Saccharomyces cerevisiae S288C: one gene and its partners. The gene in region 3 interacts genetically with the main gene of each other region. Each region holds a gene or a part of one and is shown on either strand. Other genes may lie near its edges.

What was found.
Region 1: of CYR1 (region 3) and GIS1, extra expression of one is lethal in a mutant of the other (dosage lethality), as found in Saccharomyces cerevisiae (one study listed by BioGRID).
Region 2: of CYR1 (region 3) and RAS1, a mutation in one rescues a mutant of the other (synthetic rescue), as found in Saccharomyces cerevisiae (one study listed by BioGRID).
Region 4: of CYR1 (region 3) and MSN4, a mutation in one rescues a mutant of the other (synthetic rescue), as found in Saccharomyces cerevisiae (one study listed by BioGRID).

The regions. Positions count from the first base shown.
Region 1 is NC_001136.10:632,022-640,323, reverse strand, and holds GIS1 (histone demethylase GIS1), read right to left. Parts: upstream 3,186-8,302; coding exon 501-3,185; downstream 1-500. Other genes in the region: mismatch repair ATPase MSH6, read left to right, coding at 1-215; aminophospholipid-translocating P4-type ATPase DNF2, read right to left, coding at 4,204-8,302. UniProt on the Saccharomyces cerevisiae protein: Transcription factor involved in the regulation of gene expression upon nutrient starvation. Recognizes and binds to the post-diauxic-shift element 5'-T[AT]AGGGAT-3' in the promoter region.
Region 2 is NC_001147.6:512,939-516,673, reverse strand, and holds RAS1 (Ras family GTPase RAS1), read right to left. Parts: upstream 1,431-3,735; coding exon 501-1,430; downstream 1-500. Other genes in the region: OST2 (dolichyl-diphosphooligosaccharide-protein glycotransferase), read left to right, coding at 1-225; CRC1 (carnitine:acyl carnitine antiporter), read left to right, coding at 2,396-3,379; alpha-1,2-mannosyltransferase KTR1, read right to left, coding at 3,668-3,735. UniProt on the Saccharomyces cerevisiae protein: The S.cerevisiae Ras proteins modulate the activity of the adenylate cyclase catalytic subunit and therefore affect the biosynthesis of cyclic-AMP.
Region 3 is NC_001142.9:421,543-432,688, reverse strand, and holds CYR1 (adenylate cyclase), read right to left. Parts: upstream 7,533-11,146; coding exon 1,452-7,532; downstream 1-1,451. Other genes in the region: COX16 (Cox16p), read right to left, coding at 1-45; SYS1 (Sys1p), read left to right, coding at 489-1,100; CTK2 (Ctk2p), read left to right, coding at 8,580-9,551; YJL007C (uncharacterized protein), read left to right, coding at 9,677-9,991; chaperonin-containing T-complex subunit CCT8, read left to right, coding at 11,026-11,146.
Region 4 is NC_001143.9:319,653-327,244, reverse strand, and holds MSN4 (stress-responsive transcriptional activator MSN4), read right to left. Parts: upstream 4,018-7,592; coding exon 2,125-4,017; downstream 1-2,124. Other genes in the region: fructose-bisphosphate aldolase FBA1, read left to right, coding at 1-837; BLI1 (Bli1p), read right to left, coding at 1,133-1,474; YKL063C (uncharacterized protein), read left to right, coding at 5,727-6,230; putative Mg(2+) transporter MNR2, read right to left, coding at 6,572-7,592. UniProt on the Saccharomyces cerevisiae protein: Positive transcriptional factor that acts as a component of the stress responsive system. Recognizes and binds to the stress response element (STRE) which is involved in the response to various forms of stress (heat, oxidative, osmotic, etc.).

The DNA of each region.
Region 1 (8,302 bases), on a different chromosome or scaffold from region 3:
TAGTCAAAGAACGTGATTTAGCTGCAAATAATTTGAATGGTGAAGTTGTCTCTGTGCCAGGTGGCTTACAAAGTGATTTCGTTCGAATTGCGTACGGAGATGGACTGAAGAATACAAAATTAGGTTCTGGTGAAGGGGTCTTGAACTATGATTGGAACATAAAAAGGAACGTTTTGAAAAGTCTATTTAGTATAATTGATGATTTACAATCCTAAGTATTTTCATTTACGATGTATGTAAGATTTTTACTTATTTTTTTTAAAGTTTTGGTCGTTGAAAAAGGATTCAGAACAGGCAAAGATTATATATTAACGATATATATGAAAAATGAATGACAAATTTATAAGGAATAAGTTGAACATTAATAGCTGAGAAAATTAAAACATGGAGAATAAATATATTATAGAAAACCAAAATTTTTCTAAAAGAAACAATATTATTACAGGAAAATATTCGATAAAAATTTTTTTTGAACCCATTTTGTATATCATTTTCTTGACCTATGATTCAGCTAATTTAGTATTTTCCATTTCTTGAGTGCATGGAATTTTTTTATTTAAATGTTGCAGAACATGGTCTCTTCTCTTGAATCTTTTACCGCATCTTGGGCAAGAATGGGGTTTCTCACCGGAATGAACTGACTTTTTATGTCTTGTTAGATGGTGACCAGAGGAAAACTGTCTATTACATTCCCGACAAATGTAAATCTTACCATGATCTGACATAATGACCTCATTTTCACCGAACTTAGAAGAATGCGCTTGATAATTGTTGCCGTTATTGTTCATTGAAGATGTACGATAGTTATCATTATTATTAGTATTATTGTTCAAGATTGATGGATTAGATTCTTGCTTGTTACCCGTGAAACTGTAATCAAAATTATTACTGTCCAGATTGCTATTATCATTACCGTTGAGTATTTTGGGTTTTTTGTGGAGAGGAGAAAAAGATGGACCTGCATCTAAGGGATTAATATTATTACTATTTTGGCGAATTCCAGTACCGTTTGAATAATCGTTGATTGTGGAAGAATACATGAGTGGATTGCTTACACCCAACGGAGATCTATAGTCATTTACAAAAGAAGATATAGGGCTCTTTGAAGCTTCTCTTGAAATATTTAATGTAACCACATTATTCCTCTTGAGAAATGGGATGTTAGATGTTGAAGGTGATAAGGGTGCAAGACCTGAATTTAATGGATTTTTGGAGTTGGTCAAATAAAGAGATAGGGGATTCGGACTGTATGTTGGATTAGGGGACACTATGGATAGATTGTGAGGCGCTGATGTAGTTGTGGCAGCAGCCGTAGTCACACCGTTAGAATAGCTGTTGCTACCGTTGCTACCATTACCACTGTTGTTGTTCATCATATTGCCATTATATGAGGTGTGGCCGTTCGGATTCATTGGTGACGACAGCGGCGGTAACGTCAATCTTGGTGACGCAGTAGCGCTGTTAGCCAGTGTCGCTAAACTTAAAGCTAACATATTGTCATCGTTATCGCCGCCTAGACCTGAAGTCCCATTTAAAGTGGACGAATGCATCATTGAAGAAGGCACAGTGGAAACGTTATTATTACTACTACTATTATTAGCGCTATTATTGGTACTGCTAATGTTATTATTGATAGATGCGGCTGCAGAGGTGTTAATGCCATTGGCGTTAACATTATTGTGGTTTTGGCTGCCATTTGTAGTTGTCGATGGGTTGGTTGATGTAGCCGTTATATTAGATAGTAAGGAGTTTGTATTAGTTAGAGAAGGGGTGCCAAAATTACTAGAATTAGACGGAATATTCATCTGCGGTAATTGCGGAGTTAAAACTTTCCTTTTGAACTTGGAACCCGGATCATCCAAAGTGGGTTCCACAATATTTGATAAGTCCATCATCCTTGATAACAACGGGGAAGAAATTCTGCTTATGGTAGTTTGATTCATGTTCAGGAACTGGTTTACACCATTAGGGGTAGTAGACCGAAGAGAACTACTTTGCGGTCTGTTCATATTAATATTGGAGAACAAGGGGTTCTTATTGTCTTCTAAATTTTGTAACTCTTGAGAGGAATGGTTTAGTAATTCATCAAAACTTCGAACTTTTTGAAATAAATCGTTATCATTATCAGTAATGGAGCCTCGTTGCTCCGACTCATTAGAATCATAAGATAAATTTGAAAACGGACCAGATTTTCGCTCTTCCTTCTTGTTTCCACAGCCGCATTTTAAAGGTTGCTTTCTAACGACAGCTTGCTGATCTAATATGAACTCAATAGATTCGCCAAAATTGTAACCATAATTGAATCCGGAGTACATGCAATAAGGGAAAGTAATGATGAATTCATGTTGGAACTGCACCACTCTATTAAATTTTATATTATTTTTTCGCAAGAAATCGGGAGAAGTTATGATGTTTTGATGTCTAATAAAAGCTGGACAATTTTCCTTATTACTTGATGGTTCCTTTGATAAAATTTTCAAAAATTGGTCTGTGTTTGCGGACGGTATGGAATACCATTGTTTGGGAGCACCGAAATGCAAGTAGTTTATAGAGCATTTATTCTGTTCGTCCAAATGCCATGGAAAAATGCATTTAGACTGACCAGTAAGTAACCGTCTGTTACTTGAGTTTATAGAATCTGGCAAATTATTCAAATTCCATAAAGTTAAATCATAGGGGAAAATTGAAGAGTTTTCGTCCACTGCATAAAAAGGTTTCGAAAAAGCGATGGTTTTCCAAAAATCACTTTCTAAAATTTGTAACTGTGCCAAATCATAACAATCCTGCTGACTATCTACGCGGCAATTTTCCTTTAAAGTTTTATCATTAAAATCACCTTGACTTATTCGAGAGTCTAGACTTTCGGCCAAGTTCTTCCACTGTGTTAAATTGTACGACTTATTGTCATACTCGTTTTCGATGCTAAATACACCGTTTTCATGTTTGTCCCATCGCTTGGCTTGTTGTTGAATCGGGGAGTCTAGTTGTATAGTCTTTAAACTTTCCGCAGGAGGTGAGCCTTCTAAAAGCTCCAGCCATTCTTTGGGAGGAATGACTTTGACAATACCATTTTCTATTCCGAATTTAGTAATTTCATCAATGAAATATTGGAAATTTGCAAACTCCATCATAGACGGCTTAAAAACCGGAACGCCATCAATAACCTCAACTGGCTTGATTTCCATTGTAGTCTGTTTTTGTAGCTATTCTTCAAATTAAAAAAAAAAAATTACAACGATGTTGTTCACTTTGTAGAAGCAAATACTTTTTAAACGCCCAACAAAGAAACAAATAGTGAAAAAAATTGAAAATTGGAAAAAATTGGGAAATGGAGGTTAATGATGAACAGAAAGGAAAAACGATGAAATATGTGGTGGGCAAAGAGTTTCTGTAAGCAAGAGACTTAGCGAAACAAAAAAAAAATACAACTGGCCAAACGTATTATTACTTGGCTATTTTCTTCCTAACAGACCAACTTCTTTTGCCTTCTGTATGGCGGGAGGAGGAGGGGGGAGGTTTTCTTCTTGTTTTTTCCGTTAACTTTTTCCCGATATGCGTAGAAGGATAATAATTTCAAATACACAACTCACACACGCGTTTGTACTTCTACCTCAACACAAACGATAAACGTTAAAAACTTCTCTTCAGTAAGTAGTGGTAATAATCCTAAACAGAGAGAAAATACTGTTTTCTTTTTCGGTTTGCTATTTTTACCTTTCCTTTCCTTTCTCTTTGGTGAAAAACCGGATCGGATGTAAACGTAAATGCCAATTCAAGGGACCTGTAAGACAAGAGAATGCGAAGCGGTAATAGTGGCAGTTGTAACCATTTTCTAGTCTTTCTCCGTAAAGTAGTTACTTGCCACAATGCCGCCATAGTGCGGAAAACAACGAAATATAATTCCTTGAAGCACAAAACGCCACCCCTTCCCCTTGCCCTTGCCCTTGCGGACGCCCTTTCCCCTCAAAATTTTTTTCATATTACGTCTCCGGCTTCGCTCTCTTACTCTTGGCGCCGGGCGGACCCCGGCAGGAAGGGGAGAACCCAGCCCCTTCCTACTCAAGGCTCTGCGCGGCGTTTTCTCCACACCCCACAGGGCGGGGTAGAGCCGTGCCGGGTGATACACATCATCACATCCTATATGAAATCTATATCATATCACATTGGTATACATAGTACAAAGGAAGAAAAAAATTGTAATCATTAACGGTCCCTGCTGCGCTGGCTGAGCAGCGTCTCTGCATGATTGATACCCGGCAGATCCAGCGAGGCACGTGCTCTTTCCACGGAGTATCTTGTGTCCAGTTGGTGGTTGGCAAGCATCTCTTCTCTTGTGCGATCCAGCGAAGTTCTGAGCTTATTTCCGCGGGCACTGGCCATTGATCTTCTAGGCAAGTTGTTCGTTGTTGTAACGGGGCTGAGCTGGTCACGGCGTTCCAGAGTGGTAGAGACACGGTACCCCTTGCGCGAGCCTTGCTCACCATTGAGTATACTCATTGGTATTTCCTCTGTGACTATGGTCTCTTGTGAGTGGCTGACACCATCAAAATGAGTGTCCAGTGAAATGGGCTCTTTGAAATCTGTAAGGGGACGTATTTCGTTTATTCTGGGCCTGCTAGGGTCCGTAGGGTCGTAGCCTTGTGGGTAGAGGTCAAAATCACCGCGTAACCACATTTCTCTAACGATCTCTATATCTTTCGGATAGAATATCTTTCTGATACAGTCAATGGTGAATCTTGGCAGTAGGCAGAACAGCACGCCAACGAAAAGTACTGCCCAATAGGCAGGTTGTGCGAATACACGCGCCGCACCCTTGTAAAATTCGTTACTTGACGACGAGCTTGTCCATATACCCGTCCAGCCGTAAAACACGGCCAGTGATAGACATATGAATAGGCCACAGAACCAGTCCCATCTATACTGTTCCATGAAGACGTAAAAGTTACATGAAGTGACTGCAATTGCTGTAACGAAGACACCGACAAAGTAACGGTGGTCTAGTCCAAGGCCATTTTCAGTTACAACCATGTTTTTATGGTACGCCAAATAGGGGAAAAAGAAGCATATCACAGATTGGTATACACCATCCAACATGTACCAAAGAAATTTGGTTTGGTTCCATTCTTTTCTTAGGATACCCACACGGTACAACTGTGGCACCAGCATCGAAACGGTGTCGGAAACATCTTGGTCGAGTACTGCTAGTAAAATAACAGGTACGGATGTGAATGCAAGATTGTAGAATGTCAAGTACGTATACTCAAACAAATACGACCCATCGAAATTATTGTAAATACCATACCAGAACAGGGATAGCGTAAAAATAACGTTCTTGTAGAAAAACTGTGGGATCATCTCTGCCAGTCTCTTATAACACCATTTACCATGCACCAATACCAGTCTTGTCACATATCTGAACTGCCCGATGGCATAATCAGAACACATGACAGCTTGTCTGCCTTCTTCACCCGCGATACCAACACCAACGTCCGCCGATTGAATCATGGCTACATCATTCGAACCATCACCAATGGCCAAGGTCATAACGTCTAAGGTCTTTTTTACCAACTTGACCACTGCAGCCTTTTGTGCTGGAGAAACTCTGCAACACAAAACAGCTTTACAATTCTTACACAGTAGCAAGAACTTGCGTCTCATTTCTTCACCATTCAAAGCAACTTTTAGCGCATCGCCATCGATAATGACAGCAAAATTTCCCTGTGGCAAACCATGCTCTCTTTTAGCTTCTTTTAACTCCTCCTCGGATCCACTCATGCCAAATTTTTCCCTTAAGTATTTTGTCACCAAATTGTTAACCACTTGAATAGGGTCACTACCAAATTCTTCTACATCTTCGCCGGAAGCCTTCACAACCAATAATTCCATATCATTGTTCAAAACATTGCAGGAAAAACCAATGTTAATGGCAGTTTCCACTTTATCACCCGTTAGGACCCATAACTTAATACCGGCCTCGGCCAAGAGGGCAATCGAATCAGGAACACCATCTTGTAAACGATCCTCAATGGCCGTACCACCAAGCAAAATAAGCTCACGTTCAATAACGTCAGTAACTTTGTCCAACTCTTCCTCCCTATTAGTAACGGATGCAGCGGCCACATCATAAGTCTTAACCCAACGTTCATACTCGGACCACGTGAGCTCTCTTTGAGCCAAACATAATGTTCTTAAACCTTCTGTGGCATATTCTTCCAAATGGAGGGCCGTCTTTTCCAACAAAGTAGCGTCGTTTTGAGTGCGATCTAATCTTGAATAGATAACGGAATCCGCACCTTTACATATTAACAGTGCTTTAGGTTCATCCTTTGGTGTAGAGCCAGGGATCTTGATAATGCAACTCATCCTTTTTCTCGACGAATTGAATTCAAGTACGTTCAGAACTTGGAACTCCTTTTGAACACCCTGGATCTCTACTATCAATCCACTTTTTGAACTACCAACGAAACTGTACCCTAATTGTCTGGCGGTGGAAACTAAGGCAGACTCATCAGGTGATTGAGCCTTGATGTCCAGTTTTTTAGGATCATCTTTATTTGGCTCCACAAGGACAGAATGACATAATGCGAGCGCCAGCAAAAAGTGTTCACAGCACTTTTGTTGATGGTCGCCACTGGATCCTTTCAAGTCTTCCACAATTTCCTTAGATACAAAAGTTAAATCCTCCGGACAAAACTGTGTATTATCACTCATTGATCTTAATTCGTCGATCATTGTTTCCCTATCTTTTGCTATCTCTTCCTTTTCGCGACGACCTTCCGATTCGACATCAACACCTTGTCTCTTCCTCAGGCCTGCTAGTGCCTCCGTATAGGCACGTCCATAAGACACACCGTTAATAGTACATTTTTTGAATTCCATCACATTTTGTGTCAAGGTGCCTGTTTTATCTGAAAAAATATACTCAATTTGACCCAAATCATCGGAGATGTTCCACGACTTTGGTGTACATGGATAGTCTAGCTTGGCATTATACAACAAAACATCAGTGTAAATGAAAATAGCCTGTGCTGTCTTAATAATTTCCACAGAAATATATAAAGAGATCGGAACCAATGACTGATAAAGAATAACCGCCACCCAAAAAGAAACAAAACCGTTAGTTGAGGCAGAACCTCCAATGGTACCAAATTCAAAATAATCTCTCGATCGAGGTTTCTGTTTATAATAAACACCGTTAACAATACCAGCAGTGAAACATAGGATAAACAATAGTACAAAATTCAAAATCACAGAAAAATTCAACTCTCTTGAAATTCTGGATTTTTTGGTTGGAGTGACACCAGCGTTTATCATAATCTTGGTATCGTCACCAGTAAAAATAACCATACCCATGGCCCACTTAGTGTTTCTCAAGGTACAACCTCTCAATAATAAGTTATTGATATTTACAGGCTCATTTCTGATGTTTCCATTTTGTGTATCTTGCCATTTGAAATTACCTTGATAAGAATACAAGTTGGCATGTGGGCCTTCACTTTCAACCCAAAACTTCGTCCTGGTAATATCCCTTGAACTCTTAATAATCTTGCTACATTTTAATGATTGACGGACCTTTAGATTTGTTTCACCATCCAAATTTTTGGTTTCCACATAACAAGCGCCATCAACATCTGATGTCGATAATAAGATCATATCAGCAGGAATTTCATCGTTATTGTGAACACGAACAATATCACCAACTTTAACATTTTTCCAGTAATCCTTGGCAAACCTACATTCAGGGTTTGGCTGTAGCGTTCGATCAACTAAATTTTCACCATCGTTATACCTGTTAGCCTGTGACATTGTTTGATTCAGGTTCTCATAATCCAAAGAGGGACGACCAAAGTCGGCAGACATTCTGTAACTACCAATTGAATCCAGAGACCCACGTGGCCCAAAGCTTCTCGAGTTCCTCTTCCTTCGTAATTCTTCCCTTTTTTTCTGTAACTTCTTTTCTCTACCAGCAGCAGTGAGGTTTTCTGAAAAATACTCAAAAATTTTAATCAATGCCCTTGTATTCGCTTTCTTGAAACGCCTCCATAAGGAAACGTTATCAACAGCAACATTTTCATTCTTCACCCCGCTTAAGATATGTGTTCTTGTATTATTAACTTCTAAATCCAATACAGTCCTTCTGGAATCTTCGATACCATCCTTAATAGCAGTGATAATTACGATGACAATTAGGGGAACGGATGCAAAACCTGGATTTGTCACACCAAATATTTGAAAAGCACCTAGAATCAACAGTATTAAAAAGTAAATATTGGCAAAATTATGAAATTGGAAAAGAATGTTC
Region 2 (3,735 bases), on a different chromosome or scaffold from region 3:
TTAGGGGTGATCCAGTGTACATTCATTATCTTGATCCGTGATAATTTTCCATTCAATGCGTTTTTAGCGGGATTCATTATTTGTGTGGGACAATTCGTCCTATTGATGAGTTTGCGGTTACAATTGTGTAATAGTTTTCCAGGCATTTCTAAAAACAGAGCTTTTGCCGAGTTTATTGTTGCTAGTTTGATTTTACATTTCGTTTGTTTACATTTTATAAATTGAGGAAGGGTTTGCCGGCGTGCTTGCATGCATGCTTGTATGTGTATAGTATATATACTTTGTACGAGAATAAAAGAACATATTACAATTGTACATTATAGAAAGCTTACAAAAGGTGGCAGATTAACCATTAGTATTAATGTTTGGTGGCAAGCAACTCTTTTACTAGATACACAGCATAGGAAAATGGATACAAAAAGATGCTGGTGAAACCAATTGAACAAGTAAGAATAGACTTGCAATCAAAACCATGTCATATCAAGAGAGCAGGATCATTTTCAACAAATTATACAACAACCACCACTAGATTCTTTTCTAGCGTTGGCGCTTGAATTTTTTTGTGGCTCAGCAGACTGTTTACTTCTCGAATTTAAGGCATTATTTTGATTACCACGACTAATATCACTTCGATTTCCGTTGCCGTTACTGGAGTACTTGGTATTTCCTTCATTGTTATTGTTTTGATTAACGTAATTCTTTTCATCAGTTCGTTTAGTAGTTTCACCGTTATGGTTAACGGCTGACTTTGAACTGGAGCCAGTGCCAGCATTGGTCAAAGAATTATCGAGTACATAAGACCCGTTGTTCTTTTTTTCTCTATCCGCTGTTGCAGATGAGGTTAGCTCCGAATCTCTTATTTCATTCGTATTATCCAGTTGACGATTCATGCTATTGTATTTCCCACCGTCGTCCCTTACCAAACGAATAAGGCTATAAAAGGCCTCGTCTACGTTGATGGCTTGTTTCGCAGACGTTTCTAGAAAGGGTGCATTCAACTGCTTGGCCAGGCGTAACCCGTCTTCATAAGAGACTTGTCTTTCATTTTCAAGGTCCAATTTGTTACCTACCACGACTACAGGAATGTAGTCAGAATCTTTTACTCTTTGAATTTGCTGATAATAAGACAGTAACTCATCAAAGGAATTTCTAGAGGTGACGGAATAGACCAGTAGGAAACCTTCCCCAGTCCTCATGTACTGTTCTCTCATCGCAGAATACTCTTCTTGTCCAGCAGTATCTAGAATGTCCAAAATGGATACTTTGTCATCGATGACAACTTGTTTTCTGTAAGAATCTTCGATAGTAGGGTCATATTCGTCCACAAAGTATGATTGAATGAATTGAATTGTTAAAGCAGATTTACCAACGCCACCTCCACCGACAACTACTATCTTATACTCTCTTATAGTTGATTTATTTCCCTGCATGTCGTTCTAAAAAGGGAAAATTTTGTTTACCTGTTCAATCGTGAAATAGCCAAACCGAAGTCAATTGTGGCAGCAGTTAATTAAGCATTGCAAGAAAGAACAAGACAGATGATAATAGAGACACCGTACAAGAAAGAATCCAAATTAAGAGAACCATACAAAGACATAAAATATAAACCTTTCAATGTAAAACAAAAGGAGGAAAAAACCTGAAAAGCCGTGAAAAATTCATAATCTTGCGATGAGTTGAAAAAGTTTGTTGTCAAATGTCCATAGACTTACATGTAGTAAATATTTTTGGTTTCTTTTTTTTTCTTCGTGCTTTTTTTTTTTCCTACGGGTTTACATTGTGCCAATGTGAATTTCCCCGCCACTCCCTACCGAACGGGTAGCAGCGTAGAACATAGCGATCAAGGGTGTGCTAAGTGAAGAAGCAATTCAGTGCGGGTAATACATATTCCTAGCCTCGTTTGCCGTTACATTGCATTGATGGTACAATAAAGGGCATGCTTTATATCGAGATGTTTCAGTGTATATGAGGGGAAACAGAAAAGAGTCATTCCTGCCATTTTTTGGTCACTGCTTTTTCTGCTATGAGTAATGGTGAAGTTCCTTGTGGCTACACGCTTAATGTCATCGGGTTACTGCTCCTAATATCCGCATATAAGCTTTATGCAGGGATCAGTTGGGCGGCTATTTATCTACACCCAGTCATCCGGCGTGACTGGATCTCCACTTGCCGCAATAAGTCGGTGGACAAATGGAGATTTAAGAGTAAAGATGCATGATGGTATAATTCCTTTAGTCGAAATAGATATATTTCAAGCGCATATATAGGCAGACGCTTGTACTGTAGAAATAGCCGATATTCAATTGCGCTCTATGTGTGTTTTTATTCCAGGTTTTCCTTGGATTCTACGTATTGTACGACTTTCTTATCCTCCACAAACGTCATCGTGTCAGTAATGTCTTCAGACACTTCATTATCAGAATCTTCATTATTGAAAGAAGAGAGTGGGAGCTTGACCAAGTCTCGTCCACCTATAAAATCAAACCCTGTACGCGAAAATATCAAATCATTTGTGGCCGGTGGAGTTGGCGGGGTATGTGCGGTGTTTACGGGTCATCCCTTCGATTTGATTAAAGTGAGATGTCAAAATGGACAAGCGAATTCCACGGTACATGCCATTACAAATATTATAAAAGAAGCAAAAACTCAAGTAAAGGGCACATTATTTACCAATTCCGTAAAGGGGTTCTATAAAGGTGTTATCCCGCCCTTATTAGGTGTTACTCCCATATTCGCTGTTTCTTTCTGGGGTTACGATGTGGGTAAGAAACTGGTTACTTTTAATAACAAGCAAGGAGGCAGTAACGAGTTAACTATGGGACAAATGGCTGCAGCAGGATTTATCAGCGCTATTCCTACCACTTTAGTGACTGCGCCAACGGAAAGAGTAAAGGTTGTCCTGCAAACATCTTCTAAGGGCTCTTTCATTCAGGCGGCTAAAACCATTGTTAAAGAAGGTGGCATAGCTTCTTTATTTAAAGGTTCATTAGCCACTTTAGCAAGAGATGGGCCTGGCTCAGCTCTATATTTTGCATCTTATGAAATTTCAAAAAATTACTTGAATAGTAGGCAACCTCGTCAAGATGCGGGCAAAGATGAACCGGTCAATATCTTGAACGTGTGTCTTGCTGGTGGTATTGCTGGTATGTCGATGTGGCTAGCTGTTTTCCCCATAGACACTATAAAGACAAAATTGCAGGCTTCCTCCACGAGGCAGAATATGCTTTCCGCCACAAAGGAAATTTATCTACAAAGAGGTGGTATCAAGGGATTTTTCCCTGGTTTAGGTCCTGCTTTACTAAGATCTTTCCCAGCCAATGCGGCCACATTTTTAGGTGTGGAGATGACTCATTCACTGTTCAAGAAGTATGGCATATGATTAAATTTTTGTTAGGTGGACCTGCCTCCCATTTTTTTCTGGCATTCCTTTTGGGAACTTTTTGTTATTTTTTGGTTCTGCAATTTCGTTCAGTGTATGGTAGAAAATATCAGTTGGGTTATCCCGGTTTCCTTGGCGTTGTTGTCGAAGCGTTCATATTTGTAACGCAATGGAGTAAATATAAATGTGATATGTAAAAAAAAGAGTTATAATTTATTCTGTTTCTTTAAATAGTATAAATAAAAAAAGTGGAAAATACAAAGACAACGTGGGCTGATTACAGTATAATCAACCGATATGGTTTTGCCAACCAGCAGGCTTTGGCAACTTGTTTATATTGTAGAATTTAGTAGTAC
Region 3 (11,146 bases):
TAGCTGCTGTCTTCTAGACCTAAATTTTTTTCCGCTGAACGACATTTAGGAGACAAATTCTGGTAATATTTCAGTTGTTGACTAATATATATAGTGGTTTTTGCCAAAATTAAAGACTTCCTTTTATTAACTAGGTGACCAGATATAAGGAAGTGTATTTGCTTTCTAATAACTTGTGTACGGCCATAACCCGGCTTTTAATCAGTTTATTTAACAAGGTATACAAATCGCCAAACGTAACAAGAGATAGGCGCTATTATTCATTTAATATTGTCGTATTCAAAATACTAACGGTGAACAATTTGCTCCATTGTAACACTATAGGACAAGGCTAATCATGAATAAATATCTCCCCACCCAAAATATTCGTAGCTCGCGATATTCACGGTAATATTCTGTAACTTCATGTTAAGAGATGATCTTTAGGAAGGCTAAGGAAGGGTACACATAGAAGTGAGATAAAAAATAGGCATTTGAATTACTGTAACATGGTTTCGATAAGAAGGTATTTGCGAGTGCCGAATGAGTTGAAACCTTCCCAGATCTTCAAACAAGATTCTCTCTCTCCAAGTAAGATTGGACTTCAAATTGTTCTTTTACAGATTTTTTATTACACCACAGCGATCGTTCTTTTTTATTGTTGGGCGAAGCTAGCGGGATATGATCTCAATATCAAGGAATGGCTGTTTTCTTGGGAGAATATCGACTTTACGAACGCATACGGTTTATCAATCTCACTGTTATGGCTTCTGGATTCATTAATATGTGTTTTTTTCTTAACTGTTATCGTTGGACGGAGTAAACTCGCATGGGATTTTGCTATCACTATACATGCCATCAATTTTATTGTGGTGTTCCTCTATACTCGGAAATTTCCTTCTTTTTCTTGGTTTTTTCTTCAAATTTTATCATCTTTAATACTAATATTTTTGGGGACATGGACAACAAGATGGAGAGAGCTTAGAGACACCTTTTTTGAGGGCTTGGTTGATCCTAATGAAGGAGAAGTTGGATTGGTTACGCCTAGTCAGCAGCATAGTAATCATTCAGAATTGGAGCAATCACCAATACAACTAAAAGACTTAGAAAGCCAAATATGAGAGGAGATGAAACAACATATTCGAGGCAATTTTGGCAATATTATAGTCATTCAAGAGAAAACAGTAAATGTATGAAAAATGGCAAGAACCTTATCTCTATAGGCTTAATAAATCTGCCTTTTTGGCCAATTTTTCAAAACAGATCCTATTTCTTATTTATACACAATCTATATTTAACATAATTAAGTACGTGATGACATTGAAGATAATAATAAGTAAAGAGTTTACGTACTTAAATTTTATATAGTTTTAGTATACTTGCAATGTGTGAATGGATCTAGTAAGCTGAGGTACTTCTCTAGCGTGAATATGAAACGAGTAACAGGGTGGTACATAATTTACGAACAGAACTCAAGTTGATAAATCCTTTGCGTTCTTAACCATTTGTAAAAGTTCGTCAACAACATTGAAAATATTGCTTCGAGCAGATGTTTTATCGTTTCTGCAAATTTCCAGTCCTGAACACCTCTGTTGTCGTAAATGTAATAATGCCACACTGGATTCGATTCTAGTAATTACATGATCAAAAAATAACAACGCATCCTTCTCAGAAATCGATTGCATAATACCATTTTCAACTTTAGGGTTAAATTTAATATAACTTCCCTCCGTCCGAGAGTCTAGTTCAATAAATCCGCCGCTTAAAGCTGACATTATAGATTCCAGTCTGTTTGAAATGACTCTTAAACGAAACAACATCGTTTCATTGATTAATTTTGACTGCTCATCTTCAGATGCAAATTCGTGTCTGGAAGCAAGAATCTTAGGATACGCAATAGTAACGAGTTCTTTGGTTTCGAGTCCCTTTAGCTTATGCTCGCCAAAGTCAAAAAATGCCCAACCAATACTTTCCAGCATGGCAATTTCTCTTTCAAGAACCTCTCCGATAATTTCTTCACCATAAACTTCCTTGAGAGATTCCTTGCCCTTCACTACTCGCTCATGATACTTCATTATCTTGTTGAATTCAGAGTAAAAATCACTACTCATTGCAATCTGACCACCGTCAGCGACGCCCTGGACCCTTGCTGCCTTATTGACCATCGGCCCCAAATAGTCCATTCTTTGAGTCACTAAATCAAGCTCTGGAACTGGGCAGCCCCAATGAATACCCATTCTAACTGATAGGCCTTGATAGATAATGTTACCATTTCTATCCGTAACTTGGCAGCCGTCTTGAACTGAGGTAATTTCCTCCGGCCATTGTGCATCCAAGAGTTTTAATTGAACACTTAAGCACCATGTCAGACCACTAGTTGGCGTAGGAAATGCCACCATAAAGGCGTCTCCTTCTGTCTTTACTTCGTAACCACCGTAAATTCGTAGTTGACGACGCATAATGTCATTGTGAGTTTTTATTGCGGTCCTCATTGCGTTAGGGAATAGCTCCCATAAGAAGGTTGAGCTTTTGATATCAGTGAAGACCATTGCTAGGTTACCTGTTGGCGGAGAAATCTCAGGTTGAAGTCTTCTTAATGTAGTATCCTCGAAAGTACTTCTTCTAGTCATTAAAGAGTTTTTATTTAAAGTGAACCGATTTTGTTGCTGAATGTTCTCGTAAAGAGCAAGGCACAAAATTGTAATATTCTCTGTACAGCCGTAAGCCATGGCATGATCCTTCAACTCAGCTGCGGCACGGAGTGGATCAGTACTATTCTCACGCGCGATATCACAAACTGTATCCACGTCCATGTATTCCCATAACTTATGCGTTGCTACAATAAGCATCTCGTCTGCTTTTGTTAATGTCACGACAGATATGTCGGGAGAAGCATGAATGTGGGGAAGCAAATCAAAAAAACCCACTGCTCTAGACACATCTACAACACCATCTAATTTTCCATTGTTGACATACCCGCCAGATATTCTGATCCTCTCGTATTCTTCCCGCTTTGTTGGGAGATGTTGTTTGGTTAGCGTTTGGTAGTCACCATTGTTTTTGGATAAAATAGCCATACAGTCACCTAAATTTGCAGCGAAGAGTTTCTTCCCTCTGATATATATCACAGTAGAGCAAGCGCCACTTAGCAAGTCTGCATATGAAAGATTGGCAACATCGGCACCATTATCAACAGAATTTAGCATTCCGTTAATCTCCTTATTCAGTTGCAAAAAACTGAAACGAAGTGCAGTTTTTATATTATCATCTGTTTCGTCTCCATACCTTTCCAGTTGTCTGATCAGTATTTTATCGTAAATATCTCTAACAATTCTTGATATATTGTGGCCATAATCTGCATTTTGGTTTTTACTATCATGAAGACATAGTAAGCATTCGTCGTCATTTCCGCGGAATCTTTCAAAGGTAACATCACGAGATGACACATAGTCTCTTTGACCTAATGTATCAGCAACACCGTAGCGCATCCCATTTATTATTGATGCAGTTGTCCTTAAACGGAAATTGACATTTTCATCCGGTACTTTGGTAGTATTTAAAGTTACGTCCATTAAACCTAGTACCTTTAACTGAGGTAATACTGTCAGATCTGACAAATCAGCATCAATATCGTGACTTATAAATGACTTTATTTCAAACCTTCGATTTCCTGAAAAATTCAAATATTTTAGTTCTTTATTATTCCTCCAGTTCCAATCGTAATGATAGTTTGATATATTATACTTTAATTGATTTGCTCCAACATCAAATACACTTAGCTGTGAGAGATTTGATAATTCTGCAGGCAGAGATAACATTTGGTTACTATTCAACATTAAAGTCTTTAAAGAGCTCCATTTCAAAACTGTATCACCCGACAATGTCGTGAGCTTATTACCGGAGAGGTACAATTCGGTAATGCTCTCAAGTTTCATGTGCGATACATCTGAAAAATTGTTGTAAGAAAGATTTAGCACTTTCAGATTGACAAAGCAATTGAAAAGAGGCCACATAGCATCATCAAATTGATTGTCTGCAGCAATAAAAAACATCAGGCTTTTAGATAACTTTGACCCATATGACATGTTATGGTAAAAAGAATTTTCTAAGCTAGAGTTACCGAATGCATTCGATGAAATATTTAGCGATGTTAGTTCAAGGTTTTCCATACCGTCAACAAAGTCCCTTATGTTGTTAGAATGTAGATCTAATGTCCTCAAACTTTTCAGTTGAGATAGCTCGGGTGGAATATACTCTAGTTTGTTTCTCGCCACTGAAAGGAAAACTAATTTAGTCAACTTGGATATCTCCTGTGGCAGTCTAGTCAAATTATTCTGATTAAGTTCAAGTTTCTCGAGGAAAGATAGTTTGGTGAGTAATTCTCCAGGAATACTCGATAACTGTGCCTTGTTCAACGTCAAACTTGTCATGTTTTTTGGATAAAAATCTTTGAAGGATATAGAAGTGATTGGATTCTCTTGAATTTCAAGGGCTCTTAGTTTCGGCAAAGTGTCTTCAAAGTTCGAAATTCTATTATCTGTTAAAAAAAGGTTCTGCAAGTTAGACGCATTTGTCTTAATTGATGATATTCTGTTATATCTTAGGTTCAGCGTCCTCAAATCTGTCATTTCCGATAAGTCGCCTATAAAATTTAGTTTGTTATGAGAAAGGTTCATCTTCGCAAGCTTTACTAGGTACTTAGTGGACTGTGGTAAGCTTTGGATTTTATTATATGATAGGTCTATTTGTAAAAGATTGGTGCAGTAGTTAATAACTTCTGGGTAGTGCATGAACTTGTTTGAAGACAAGTCTAGCAATTGCAGATTTTTCAGTTCAACAAATCCAGCCGGTAGGCTTTCAAGCTCATTACATTGAAGGTTTAATATCGTTAAATTACTCAGTTTCATGATTGAGTTCGGTACTTTTCTTATGAAGTTTCTCTGTAATTCCAAAGATACTAGTTTATACGCCTTAGTGATATTGGAAGGAAATTTAGATGCTCTAATATTAACCATTCTCAAACTTAATAATTTAATCGAGCTTTCAATGAACTCCAGAGGTAGGAATATATTTGCGTTATTAGAAACGTCTAAACTTTCTATTTCTGACGTATGCTGGTAAAAAATGATGGGAGGTGTAGTCAGATCCATATTCCTTAAATCTACGTGAACAAATTCGCTTCTCATTATTCTTTGTTCTTGTTCAGGAGTAAAGTGAGAAGGTGTGACAGGATGGAAAAGAAACTTAAAAACAAAACTTAAATCCTCTATACCCATAATATGAAGTGGGTCTGACTTTCGATAACCATTCAAAAGTAAAAGTTTTCTTTCAATTAAAATAGGTTTCGAAGTTGGTCTCAAAATTTTTGACAACTTTCCCACCTTCAGGGAAATTTGAAAATTCCCTTGCGCTGTAATGTTAAATTTTCTTTTAAGTGCAGGTATTATCTCTTCGACGGTAGTCGCTGGAGTACATGAGAGAGTCGTAAAAGTGTCATCAGTATTGAATATACGAATAGCATAGTGCCTCTTTGGATCTAAATCACTGAAATCTTTATAGTAATGTTCCAGTTGGCACTCGACCTCATCGTCCTTCTCATCTTGTAGTAATAATCCAGAACTCTGGGCACCATCTGGTGAATTCATATTTACCGAAGAGGATGTAAATTTCTTGGTATACGATTTCGTTTTATTCAGGATCGGTGTTTTATTATCCTGCTCTCGGTTGGCCTCCATATACGCGTTAGTGTACGAAGAGGAATCGCTGCAGGAAGATGTATCTTCTGAACTAATAGATGAGGACGGTAAAGATGAGGAAGTGGAAGACGTGTCGTAGTCCCCATCTAAATTTGATGGAGCATATCGTATACTTGGGGGACTCATAGCCAAATTACTTTTTAAGCGGTTCACAGATTTAGTATCGAGTGCGGTCTTGCTATCATTCGGAACGTTTTCTTTACATATATCAACAAAACTTGAGTTACTGTCACCCGCAGTGACCATTGATTCGTTATCCTTTCGATCGTGATGATGACGAGAGTCTTTTTTTGAAGGTGGCCCCGGTGACATGGGATCAAGTTCATCAGCATCTATACTTGACCTTCTTGATTTCGATCTCCCTTTAGGTTTTGTTTTTTTCCTTTTGGTTTCCACATCCCAGCTTTGAGGTGCTACCCATTGTGATCTATCATTGGAAGTTGATGTGAATTCACCATTAGGTGCTGCGGCAGCGACGGAGAGATCAGCCATTGACACCGACTTCCTAGGACCTTCAGGCATGATCACCGTTTTGGGTGAGGCAGTCTCAGTCCCGTGTGTAGAATTTAGTGTAGAATTGACAGCGGTGGGTGGCACCGTCTTTGTAATATCAGTAACATCCTCAAGGTTTGTATCTAGCCTGAAAAGGGATGGTTTACATGAAATGGGTGTTTCTATAGTAGGCGTTGTGGCTTCGCGTTTGTTGTCAGAGTTAGAATTTTCCGGAATGTTCTCATTATATTCTGGAGTCACTTTCTCGGATTTATTATTAGTGTGATCGGCGGATTCGCTGTTAACGCTGTCCTTACTTTTAGTAGTTGGAGAAACATTAGATACGTTATGTTGGAGAACATGACTACCCGACGTCGCCATACTTGCACTGTCACTGTTAGTCATTGAACTGACATTTGAACCTCTTCTACTGCTTGAAGAAGATGTGGAGCCTAGCAGAAAGCTTTTTCTGTGCGAGCGTTTGCTATTGGGAACATCGGATGAATGTAATGTATTTTCTGATTGCGCAACAGCCTTTGGTCTAATCTGTTTATCTGCAATACCATTATTTATATCATGGACGGAAGAACCACGTACCAATGAGGACACTTTCCTTCGTAAAGTGCTTGGCACGTTATCAGCCAAGTGATTAGATAAAGTGGAGTCTTTAGAAGGTTTCCTATTAGCAGGTGCAGGATTTACCGTTGAAAGGGAAAGGTTAGCAACTTTACTTTCCTTTCCTGACTTATTGCCATCGTGACTGTTTGACCCTGAAAACCTTTTGAATAGGGTTTCCGCTAATGATGGCTTCCTATTGGGAAAAAACTGAACATGATGATGATCATGATGACCGTCATGATGGTTATGAGTAGATGTGTAGTTGTGCGTCTTGGATGAATTCAAAGCGTAACCGTGGTCTTTATTATCATCATGAGTACTATTCGCGCTCGTCATTGAAAGACTGCTCAATGTTTTCTTCAGTAAATATGGACCCCTTTTGATTTTCGGTTCTGTCGGCCTTGGATGTTCCACGTTCGAAATACTTACATCATCCATACCATTTGGAGTGATACTCTCCCTGCTTTTGGTCATAGAAAGCGACCGTGGGCTGTAATAACTATATGCGCTATTCCTTCTTGATTTGTGACCACTATTTTGTTCGTGACGCTTCTTGACTTTTGGTACCTCATCATGAATGCTTCTATCGTTTGCTTCCGTAGGTGAGCTCTGCTCTATCTGTTGTTCTTGTTCTTCCTGTCGCTGAGGGCCAGAAATTTCCGAACCAGTATCAGGTTTTGATGACATTTCGACCTAGGGATTTCGTTTGCTGTTGCTTTAGCTCGTTTCGCAATGGTTAGCGACAATAGTAAAGATATGCTATTTTTGGTTGTGAACTGCAGCAAGAGGTCTCCTTATGCTTTCTCTCCTCTGTTACTATACTTCCCAGCTGTCTTTACTGAACTTTGGAAGAAAATACACTTTTTTAGAGTCGCTTTTCTTATGGTAAGTCCCCCCTGCTTTCCTTCCAAAATACAAAAAAAAAAAAAAAAAAAAAGTAAGAAAAAGGAAGTGAAAAAATAAGGTTATGATTGAATATTTAGGTTTGATAGAGGAGAAAGTAAGGAAGGTCTCAGTTCAGTCTGCCATTCCAATTTGAAACATAGAATTTCAGTGATTAACAATGCAATTGAACAATTGAACACAGAGAAGAAGAAGAACGAGAACTGACTCTAAATCTGGCATTTTATCCTTTTTTATGGCTATTTACATTGGGAGCTAGGCGAAATGCATATTTGTTTACTTTCTGGCATTTACAAAATCATTTTTTAAAGGGTATGACCTACTCTAATGCGCTTTTCTGTAGAACAACGCAGGGAACGGTATTTGATGTTTTCAATGATGTATGACTTATATAACATCTATTTCCTAGGATTTTTAAATAAGATGGAGGGTTGGCCGAGTGGTCTAAGGCGGCAGACTTAAGATCTGTTGGACGGTTGTCCGCGCGAGTTCGAACCTCGCATCCTTCAGTATTTTTTGTCCTTATCTTTTTGCTGCACCGAAAGCACTCATGAAGTCTACGGCTTGATGCACACCGTTTGGGAACCTTTGCGATCCCACGTACCTAAATGGTCCTTTTCGGTACAACTTGCTGAAGAATCACTGTGTGGCGGGTAATGCTCTCTTTATACTTGCATTGCGAAAATCCGCGATGATCAAAAATCCAAACAAGTACTGTCCTGAAAGCCGTCTTTATACACATAGATATATATATATATATATATATATCTGTATCTATAGAGCGAGAGGAGATATAGAGCCAGCAAAACTAAGAAAATTACGTACTTTGATATGCCTAGCACGTTTGAATCCCAGCTTTTTTTTTCGAGACCGTTTCTGTCTAAAAGGCAAATTCAAAGAGCCCAAAAGAATACAATATCGGACTATCGAAATTACAACCAGAAAAAACTTGCCGTGTTCAAATTTCTAAGTGACTTGTGTGTTCAGCTGAAATTTCCACGGAAGACTTTAGAAACAGCAGTATACTTTTACCAAAGATACCACCTCTTTAATCGCTTCGAGACCGAGGTTTGCTACACTGTAGCGACAAGCTGCCTGACTTTGGGCTGTAAAGAAGTTGAGACAATTAAAAAAACAAATGATATATGTACTTTGTCATTACGATTGAGGAATGTGGTTAAAATCAATACGGACATTTTGGAAAATTTTAAAAAAAGGGTATTTCAAATAGAACTTCGGATATTAGAGTCATGCTCATTCGATTATAGAGTCAACAATTACGTTCATATTGATGAATATGTTATAAAAATTGGTAGGGAGCTATCCTTTGATTATAAGTTGTGCAATCTGGCTTGGGTAATTGCTTATGATGCTTTGAAGCTAGAAACTATTTTAGTCATACCCCAACATTCCATTGCATTGGCCATTTTGAAAATAGCATATGAATTACTAGATAATAAGAATTGGTCAAGTAAAAGGTATTCTTTATTTGAAACAGACGAGAAATCCGTAAATGAAGCTTATTTTGATATAGTCAATTTTTACATCAATTCATTCGATATGTGCGATCTACAACGTCATTTACCGGCTGATTTGCTGCCGATTGGCGTTGAAAGGTTTATGGAACTGAAAAAAAACGCAGGACCAGAATCTGGATTGCCGCAAATACCAGATCACCTGTTGAATGCCGATCCTTATATCACTATTACTAGAGATAATAATGTCCAAGAAAGAAGATATGTACTTTCACTGGAGCTAATTAATGGCGAGTCCAGCATAAATAGTTCTACAAGACATGCATAGAAAGTCCTACTATAAACTTAAATAAGATCATCATTATAAACTTTCTTTTACACAAGTAATAAGTACCTTTTTTTATCTCAAAACATGAATGTTGAGCTTCGAGGTTTAATTCACAAAAAAAGAAAATGTGCTCCAGGGGAGGTTCGAACTCTCGACCTTCAGATTATGAGACTGACGCTCTTCCTACTGAGCTACTGAAGCATACAAAGGATGTTGGGGAAGAAAAACAAACTTTACATCAAATATTTGCGGATTCCATGGTTATTAAAGGATATAGCACCGGGTATACAGGACATACTAGAAGTTCTCCAGGGGATCTTGTAATCCACAAAAGAGAATTGATATTTTCACATAATATTGTCATTATTGTTTCCCCAATTTATATGATATCATTCATTATTCTGTTACACTATCAGTCCTGGCATTTCAGCATCTATTAAATCTGATGACTGTTTTCTCAATCTTCATGCCATCTTGGTACATCGTACATGATAATATATTAGTAATATGAATACTATTCGATAGATTATAGTTGATCCTCATTAGGACATCTATCGTAACAATGGGAATGTTCATATCATACATTAATTTATACGAGTTGTTCAGACAGTAGTATAAGGCAAAGATCTTTTACTTGAAAGGTTAACTTAAAAATTTTGGATATAGAAGTCATTATACTAGGCGCGTAGTATTTTACTGATGTGTTTCCAAGCTAGGGCATACTGAATATGTTCTCTGGGCGCGTGTTTATATGCTTTTCTTATATACAATAAGAAAAGTTTACTTCTATTCTCGGTAAAAACATTCTTACGGCTTGACCACTATTGATGGATATGGTTTATTGCTCATAGGTAGAGGTCAAAAAGCTTTATTAATGAAGATTGAATATCGATCTTCTTAGACTTATATAAGGGGGATATAAAACACACGCCGATTGGTTCATTCCTAATTGTGACCAATGTAATAGTGGTTCCGGCAGTTCTCATACATTTAATGTGAAGACCTGTATTGCTCATATATATGACTATCAGATCATATTCAAATAATGGATTTTTAATTCTGCTTCGGTACTGTCTGAACTGCTTCTTGAACATTTCCTTCTGTAATAGGTACATTGACAGACATATGCGTGGTGTATACTAGCATAAAATGTAAGCATCGAAATTGTTACCAATTGAATTCATGTTGATATCTAATGATCACTTGTCCGAACATTTTGTATTATTAATCAATAAAGAAGCTGCCGGATTTAGATAATTAAAGAGTTGCGAGCACATTTACTATTTCAATAGCTTATTTTATATAAGCCAAGTTAATGGTGTTTTTGTCATTATTAACGGTATTCGAAAATGTTCATCACCTCCGCTAGTGGCAAAAAAAAGTGAAGAAAATAGTATAGCATGATGATGTTCTCACTTTACAGATACCGACAAGACAACTTGAACCTCAAGGGCAATAAAATCATCAATTAACCATGTCACTTAGATTGCCACAAAATCCCAACGCGGGATTGTTTAAACAAGGCTACAATAGTTACTCTAACGCCGATGGCCAAATTATTAAATCAATTGCGGCCATTCGCGAATTACATCAAA
Region 4 (7,592 bases), on a different chromosome or scaffold from region 3:
GCTTCCATCAAGGGTGCTATTGCCGCTGCCCACTACATCAGATCCATTGCTCCAGCTTACGGTATCCCAGTTGTCTTACACTCTGACCACTGTGCCAAGAAGTTGTTGCCATGGTTCGATGGTATGTTGGAAGCTGATGAAGCTTACTTCAAGGAACACGGTGAACCATTATTCTCCTCCCACATGTTGGATTTGTCTGAAGAAACCGATGAAGAAAACATCTCTACTTGTGTCAAGTACTTCAAGAGAATGGCCGCTATGGACCAATGGTTAGAAATGGAAATCGGTATTACCGGTGGTGAAGAAGATGGTGTTAACAACGAAAACGCTGACAAGGAAGACTTGTACACCAAGCCAGAACAAGTTTACAACGTCTACAAGGCTTTGCACCCAATCTCTCCAAACTTCTCCATTGCTGCTGCTTTCGGTAACTGTCACGGTTTGTACGCTGGTGACATCGCTTTGAGACCAGAAATCTTGGCTGAACACCAAAAGTACACCAGAGAACAAGTTGGTTGCAAGGAAGAAAAGCCATTGTTCTTGGTCTTCCACGGTGGTTCCGGTTCTACTGTCCAAGAATTCCACACTGGTATTGACAACGGTGTTGTCAAGGTCAACTTGGACACTGACTGTCAATACGCTTACTTGACTGGTATCAGAGACTACGTCTTGAACAAGAAGGACTACATAATGTCCCCAGTCGGTAACCCAGAAGGTCCAGAAAAGCCAAACAAGAAGTTCTTCGACCCAAGAGTCTGGGTTAGAGAAGGTGAAAAGACCATGGGTGCTAAGATCACCAAGTCTTTGGAAACTTTCCGTACCACTAACACTTTATAAGTTAATTCAAATTAATTGATATAGTTTTTTAATGAGTATTGAATCTGTTTAGAAATAATGGAATATTATTTTTATTTATTTATTTATATTATTGGTCGGCTCTTTTCTTCTGAAGGTCAATGACAAAATGATATGAAGGAAATAATGATTTCTAAAATTTTACAACGTAAGATATTTTTACAAAAGCCTAGCTCATCTTTTGTCATGCACTATTTTACTCACGCTTGAAATTAACGGCCAGTCCACTGCGGAGTCATTTCAAAGTCATCCTAATCGATCTATCGTTTTTGATAGCTCATTTTGGAGTTCGCGATTGTCTTCTGTTATTCACAACTGTTTTAATTTTTATTTCATTCTGGAACTCTTCGAGTTCTTTGTAAAGTCTTTCATAGTAGCTTACTTTATCCTCCAACATATTTAACTTCATGTCAATTTCGGCTCTTAAATTTTCCACATCATCAAGTTCAACATCATCTTTTAACTTGAATTTATTCTCTAGCTCTTCCAACCAAGCCTCATTGCTCCTTGATTTACTGGTGAAAAGTGATACACTTTGCGCGCAATCCAGGTCAAAACTTTCCTGCAAAGAATTCACCAATTTCTCGACATCATAGTACAATTTGTTTTGTTCTCCCATCACAATTTAATATACCTGATGGATTCTTATGAAGCGCTGGGTAATGGACGTGTCACTCTACTTCGCCTTTTTCCCTACTCCTTTTAGTACGGAAGACAATGCTAATAAATAAGAGGGTAATAATAATATTATTAATCGGCAAAAAAGATTAAACGCCAAGCGTTTAATTATCAGAAAGCAAACGTCGTACCAATCCTTGAATGCTTCCCAATTGTATATTAAGAGTCATCACAGCAACATATTCTTGTTATTAAATTAATTATTATTGATTTTTGATATTGTATAAAAAAACCAAATATGTATAAAAAAAGTGAATAAAAAATACCAAGTATGGAGAAATATATTAGAAGTCTATACGTTAAAACCAGAACGTGCACAATTTTTTTAATCTGCCAAATGGAAAAAACGGAAATATACGGAAAAGAAGTTGAAGTAATAGTTAGAAAGGCAAAAAAGGAAAGAAACAATTTAAAATATCTTAAGATTATATTAGAAACAAACACCAATGTTCATTTCATTCCTTAGAATATATCCGAATGAAATGACCAACCTACTTGTTTTGTAAACTGAGGAAGAAAGAATATTATTTCTCCGAAAACTTGTCATACCGTAGCTTGTCTTGCTTTTATTTGCTTTTGACCTTATTTTTTTCAAAAATCACCGTGCTTTTTGTGAGTTTTTAGATGTTGTGATAAATTGTCACTTCTACTGAATTTTTTCTCACAGAACATACAAGCAAAAGGGCGTTCCGTTGAATGAACGGATCTTATATGCCTTTTCAAGTGCTCACTGCGTCTGAATGCCTTCTCACAGTCTTTACACTTGAAAGGTTTATTTTTATCGTAGTTGTTGGGGTCAATGGTAGTAATAGATTTCCTTTTCCGAGGTTGGACAGGAACCTTACCATTGTTGTTGTTATGAGAAATAGTTGGACTTAAAGTAACACTTGACGACTTTCTTCTTCTTGTGTTTGGGCTTACCGTTGCCTGTTTAGTAGGTTGTTGTTGATGATGTTGAGCTGCATGGTGAGCTTGACTAGTAGGAAGTATTTTGAACGAAGAGTTCATCGAGATATCATAGCTTCTTCTTTGGAAAGCTGGTGTAGGTGTGATATTATCAACACCAGAAGTCGCCAATTTAGCGGCAGCAGAGGCATTATCCGACAACATCATAGAGGGTTTGATAAACTGTTGATCCTGAGCCGGAGATGACTTGAGAATGTTGAAGGGGTCTACGTTATTGTCGAATGCCGACATTGTGGTTGCATCTAAGCTATTGTAATTTAGCGCACCAAAAGCATCGTCTTCATTTTCTTCTGAAAGAAATGATGCGGAATCAGACAGAGGATTTGCCATCACCGAATCATTTGCAAAAGATTCAATATCATGAATTAAGGGCAAAGAGGCACGCTGTTGCCTTGTGGTGCTACTGCTATGGGAGATGCGATTTAAAGAAGAGGAAATGCTTTTTGGCTTTGTTATACCAGAGTCCTTAGAAAAATCCATACTATAACCGCTCAGAGCTTGAGAAACGTCATGATCTAATAATTTGAAGTTTGGATTAGAGTTGTTTATAGTGGTAGTAGGTGAAATGGTTGATCCACGCCTCTCAGTAGTGGCAGTACCTTCAGGGATAATTTGTTGAGTGGGTTTACTGTTGCTACTATTTTTGTGATTGAGATTCCAAAACTCTATCGAATGAGAGATCGAATTTCTAGAATCCGTCATAGAAGGAAAGGAAGAGGTAACCACCTCGCTGTATCTTCTTGCGTCGCGACCAGCGTCCGGCATGAACTTCAATGCTTCTTCTGAAGATACAAAATCCTCTAAGATTGATTGCATGCTATTAGTATTATCATTATTGGTATCGTCTAGATTATAATCATTGTCGTTCAATCCTGTTGTACTGTTGGCGTTGTTTGGTAACCTAGCATCTAGAAACAAATTGGAATATATTGAAGGTTCTGCCTCAAGAAGGTTTGTCTTGGGAGAAGTTGCATGTTGGTGTGGCGATAATTCTATATTTTCATTAAAATGACTGTCATTGATAGGATTCATTGGAGAAAATACCTTTTCTAGTTGCTCCAAGTTTTTCAATTCGTCATTTAAAGCTTGAGGGGTGGCTACTGAACTATATATCTTATCACCACCATTTTTCTTACCATTAGCATTACTGCTTTGTTTCTCACCGTCATTCACGAACTGTGCGTTATTGGAATTTTTCCACTTCCAGTTGGTAGCTAAACTGGCGGTATCCTTTAAATTCATTAAACTATTATTAGCAGTCGTATTAGTTGTCGCTGTTAAAATTGGAGTATTAGTGGCGTCCGTTCTATGCGGAGAATCCATTGAGAATTGACCAAAGGTATATTCCGGCGAAGATATGCTATTGTTCGCAGAATTGTCATTAGAAGAAGTAGCAGAAACGTTGGTTGTGCTCAATACCGGGTCCATCAATCCGTTTGGCTCGTTCATTATAGACGAATCTTCTTGTTTCTTGTTTGCGTGACGAACGAAACTACTATTAGGTCCGAAGACTAGCATTATATTGTTTTTAATAAGAAGAAAAGAAAAAAAAGCCGAACTGATAAAGGCGTTAAATATTCAAAAAGGAAATTTCACGTTTTAATTCTTTTCTCTATAAATGTTAATTCTCTGGAAATAAAACGGAAAGAGACGGAAAAATTCTTAAGCCTGTTGACCAGTTGCGAAAAACACATCACAGAACTGCAGTTGCTTGTTATATACAAATTTAGACAGAAATAAGATGCATAAAAATAAAATTTAAGTACCTACAGGTATGCTCATGCATCTAAGGGAAACATGTGTAGCATCAAGAGGGTAGAAAGGCCCGCAAGCGGAATCCCAGAAATAGCCATAATACTTTTGATAGATAAGAGACCTTTGTTAAACGCTCTTAAAAGGGTGGGTTTGGTTTATCCGGAGAATAGCAATGCGCAAACCTTATTGCTCAAGAGTCCTAGTTCTAGCTCGGGTTTTCAGGTTCTAAAAATGACCAGTACGCCGCCAGCAGTGAAACCTCGTGGGAGAAAGCCGGTTCCTGCAGCCTGACATTTGCGCTGGGTTTTCACGGCACCATGCCTAGCAGCCCTGGCCACTGTCATCGCTACCAACCGCTTCGTACAACAGTACCCACCAGCAGCCGGCTGCTGGCCCCACATAGAAATTGTTACGGATCCGTCCCCGCGCTCGTACTTTACAGCCAACCCCACCTTTTTCCCTTTTTCTTGGTGTGCGGTTGCCGTTCCTTCGAGGAACGGATCTTCGGGCTTTTTTTGCCGCGCTCAAAATGCCCCGGAGCGGCACTTTCTATGTATGTTTTTTTCTTTCATTTTATTATTTCCTAGTGCTGGCAAAATGATTGCTTGGAGCTCACAATACCTGTGAGGAGACCCCTTCCCCTTTTCTTTTCCCCTCCCCTGATTTCGGAAAATCAAAAAAATCGTTACGCTTGACAATTATTCCTTTTTGAGCGATTATTTTTCAAATTTCACAACTTCTTTGCCTTCAGAGGTCCTGGGTGCCTTACATCGTAGCATTTATGTTGCATCTTTTATCGAAAACATAGCTCTTTACGCGCTAAGGAAAGAAGTTGACAGCAGCTGGGTACACTAGGCAAGGTAGACGTTTTTATCAACTGTCTGTAGATAGATTCACTGCATCCTTATACTGCAAGAGATGAAAATTTTGAAAACCCTTCATCTTTTGCGGCTTTAAGCTTTCAATGAAATGTATGTTAAACAGTGCTTATCTCCTGTTTTTACGCGCAATAACGCCAGCGGCCTTGTTTTCCTCTCTTCTCCGTTTAGCGTTAGCCATTCGTTCAAATGAACGCTAAAAACATAAGGGCTACCCTTAAAAACTCCGCTATGAAGGCAAAAAATATAAACAGGGTAAGCACCTATATGTAATTTGGCACGACGTGAGCAATTTCATGTTGTGCAGCGGGATAGCAAGCTGTGCAGCGGGATAGCAAGCTGTGCAGTATTCTAACAAAAAAAAACACGAAGAAAAAGAAAAGAATAGCGAATTTCTCAGTGACAGTCTTCCAATCTTTCAGAAAGGCAAAAAAAGTGATTTCGTCATTAACATTAAGAGTTAGCACTTTACCAGAGTGCTATTGCCTTCCAACATACGTTCCTCCCCTCCAAAGTAGTAGTACTATATAGATAAAGCTAGGGTATTCTGAGCAAATATAAATCAAACTAAAGTGATTCATAATTATAGAAAATATGCAGGGCGATATCAGAAGGAAAAAAGATCTTTTACCTCGTTATAAAACAGGAAGCAAATATAATTCCAGAAGAAGGGGCGGTTATCTGACTACCCCTATGAAAAAGATTATAGTATACATTATACTGTTATGTGGCGTTTATTTCGTTATAAAAGTTGCCTATTCTGATCTGAATAAAGAAACTGAGATCAAGCTAGAAAGCCATTCTTCTGATGTTTCTGCAAGTGCAAGCGATCATACCAATATTGCAGCCGGCGGTGCAGCTGATGCGACTAACAATAAGCAACCACAACAAGCTAAAGTACCTAAAGAAAAGTTCAATAATGAAGTCGCAAAGCAACAAGAAGTAAAGAATTTGGAGAACGATTTGAAACCACAAATTGATTCAGAAAAGCAAAAACAAATAAACAAGGACAAAAAAGAACAAAAACAGCAACTCCAGAAAGAGAAACAAGATCTCGCCAAGGAAAATTTGGCTAACAATGAAATCCTTGATAATTAACCAATTCAAAACTTCCAACAGTTTGGTGATGAAAATAATAAATGTTTTACGTTAACCTTATTGATTAACCTCACCTCCCTTATTCTTTGTATAGTATAAGTGCATACTAACATACTGTGTACGTACATAAAGATATGCAGAACGTTCACAAACATGTAGAAACCAGACACGAAAAAAAAAAAAAAAAAAAACATAAATAGATTAAAGATATTTATCACCACAAGTATACGATACGGCGCTGATAATTTACAATTCTATCCTTCGGGAAAGACAACAATAATTTAGGCTGATAATTAAAATCGAAGGAAAAGCAAGCGCTAATGCGCGAAAAAACACTTAAATTAAAACCCGAATCTTCTCTTAGTATACATATATGCAGAACATGCTAGCATACACATAAAAAGCACAATGCCTATAAACCATGTCAACGAATCCCTGTATTGTCCGGGCACGATAACATTCATACCCCACAGACCCGTAATCACATTCATTGGCAGAACAATAGTACCCAGTATGGTAATTTTTCCCAAAACGTCGTTCATGTCATTATTAACCTTCGTCATATCAATGTTGATTTGTGCCAGATAATTTGAATGCGATCTACTTAACAGTTTTTCATAATGGTTTAGCGATGAGACCATGGTTACAATATGATCTTGAATATCACCCAAATACATTGCGATTTCAGATTGTGGCGAAGCTTCCCATTGCTCATTATACCTTTTGGCAAATCCTTTTATCACATCAGCCTTGGATCCTAGCAATCTTAGTATACTCATCACTCTTTTACGGCATTCACCAATCCGCCTCAACATATCTCCTTTTCTCTTCCAACCTATCAAATTTGCATTGAATGACGCTTCAGAAGTGCTCATACTTCTTGAACTCACACTAGATTTTGCACTAGAGTAGGACGTCTTTTTAGAATAGACATCGAACGGAAATGCATCCTCATCGCTAGCGCCCGAATCGGAATCACTATCGCTAGAATCGCTATCACTAGAATCATCTGACTGATGCATCTTCAAAATGGCGTCCTCAATCTCATAAACTTCATCTTCGATAAGTTCTATCATAGGGGCAAATGCGTCTGTAATGTCATCGATTAAGGCATACGCAATCCAATCAGAGGTAACATTAAGGTAATCCTTTAGTAGTCTTGCTCTTCTTCGAACATTAATAGGATGTGGTGTGGGAGCAAAATGAAACGTCAATACACCAGTTCTGAAAACAATAATGTAAACATTCAATGGCTCTAATTCTCCCTCACGTGGTTTGTGCCTGTCTCCTGATTTTCTTTTGAATTTTTCGTTCTCTTCCATCTTTTTCTTTTCGCTTTTGACACGGCGTTTATAGCTTGAT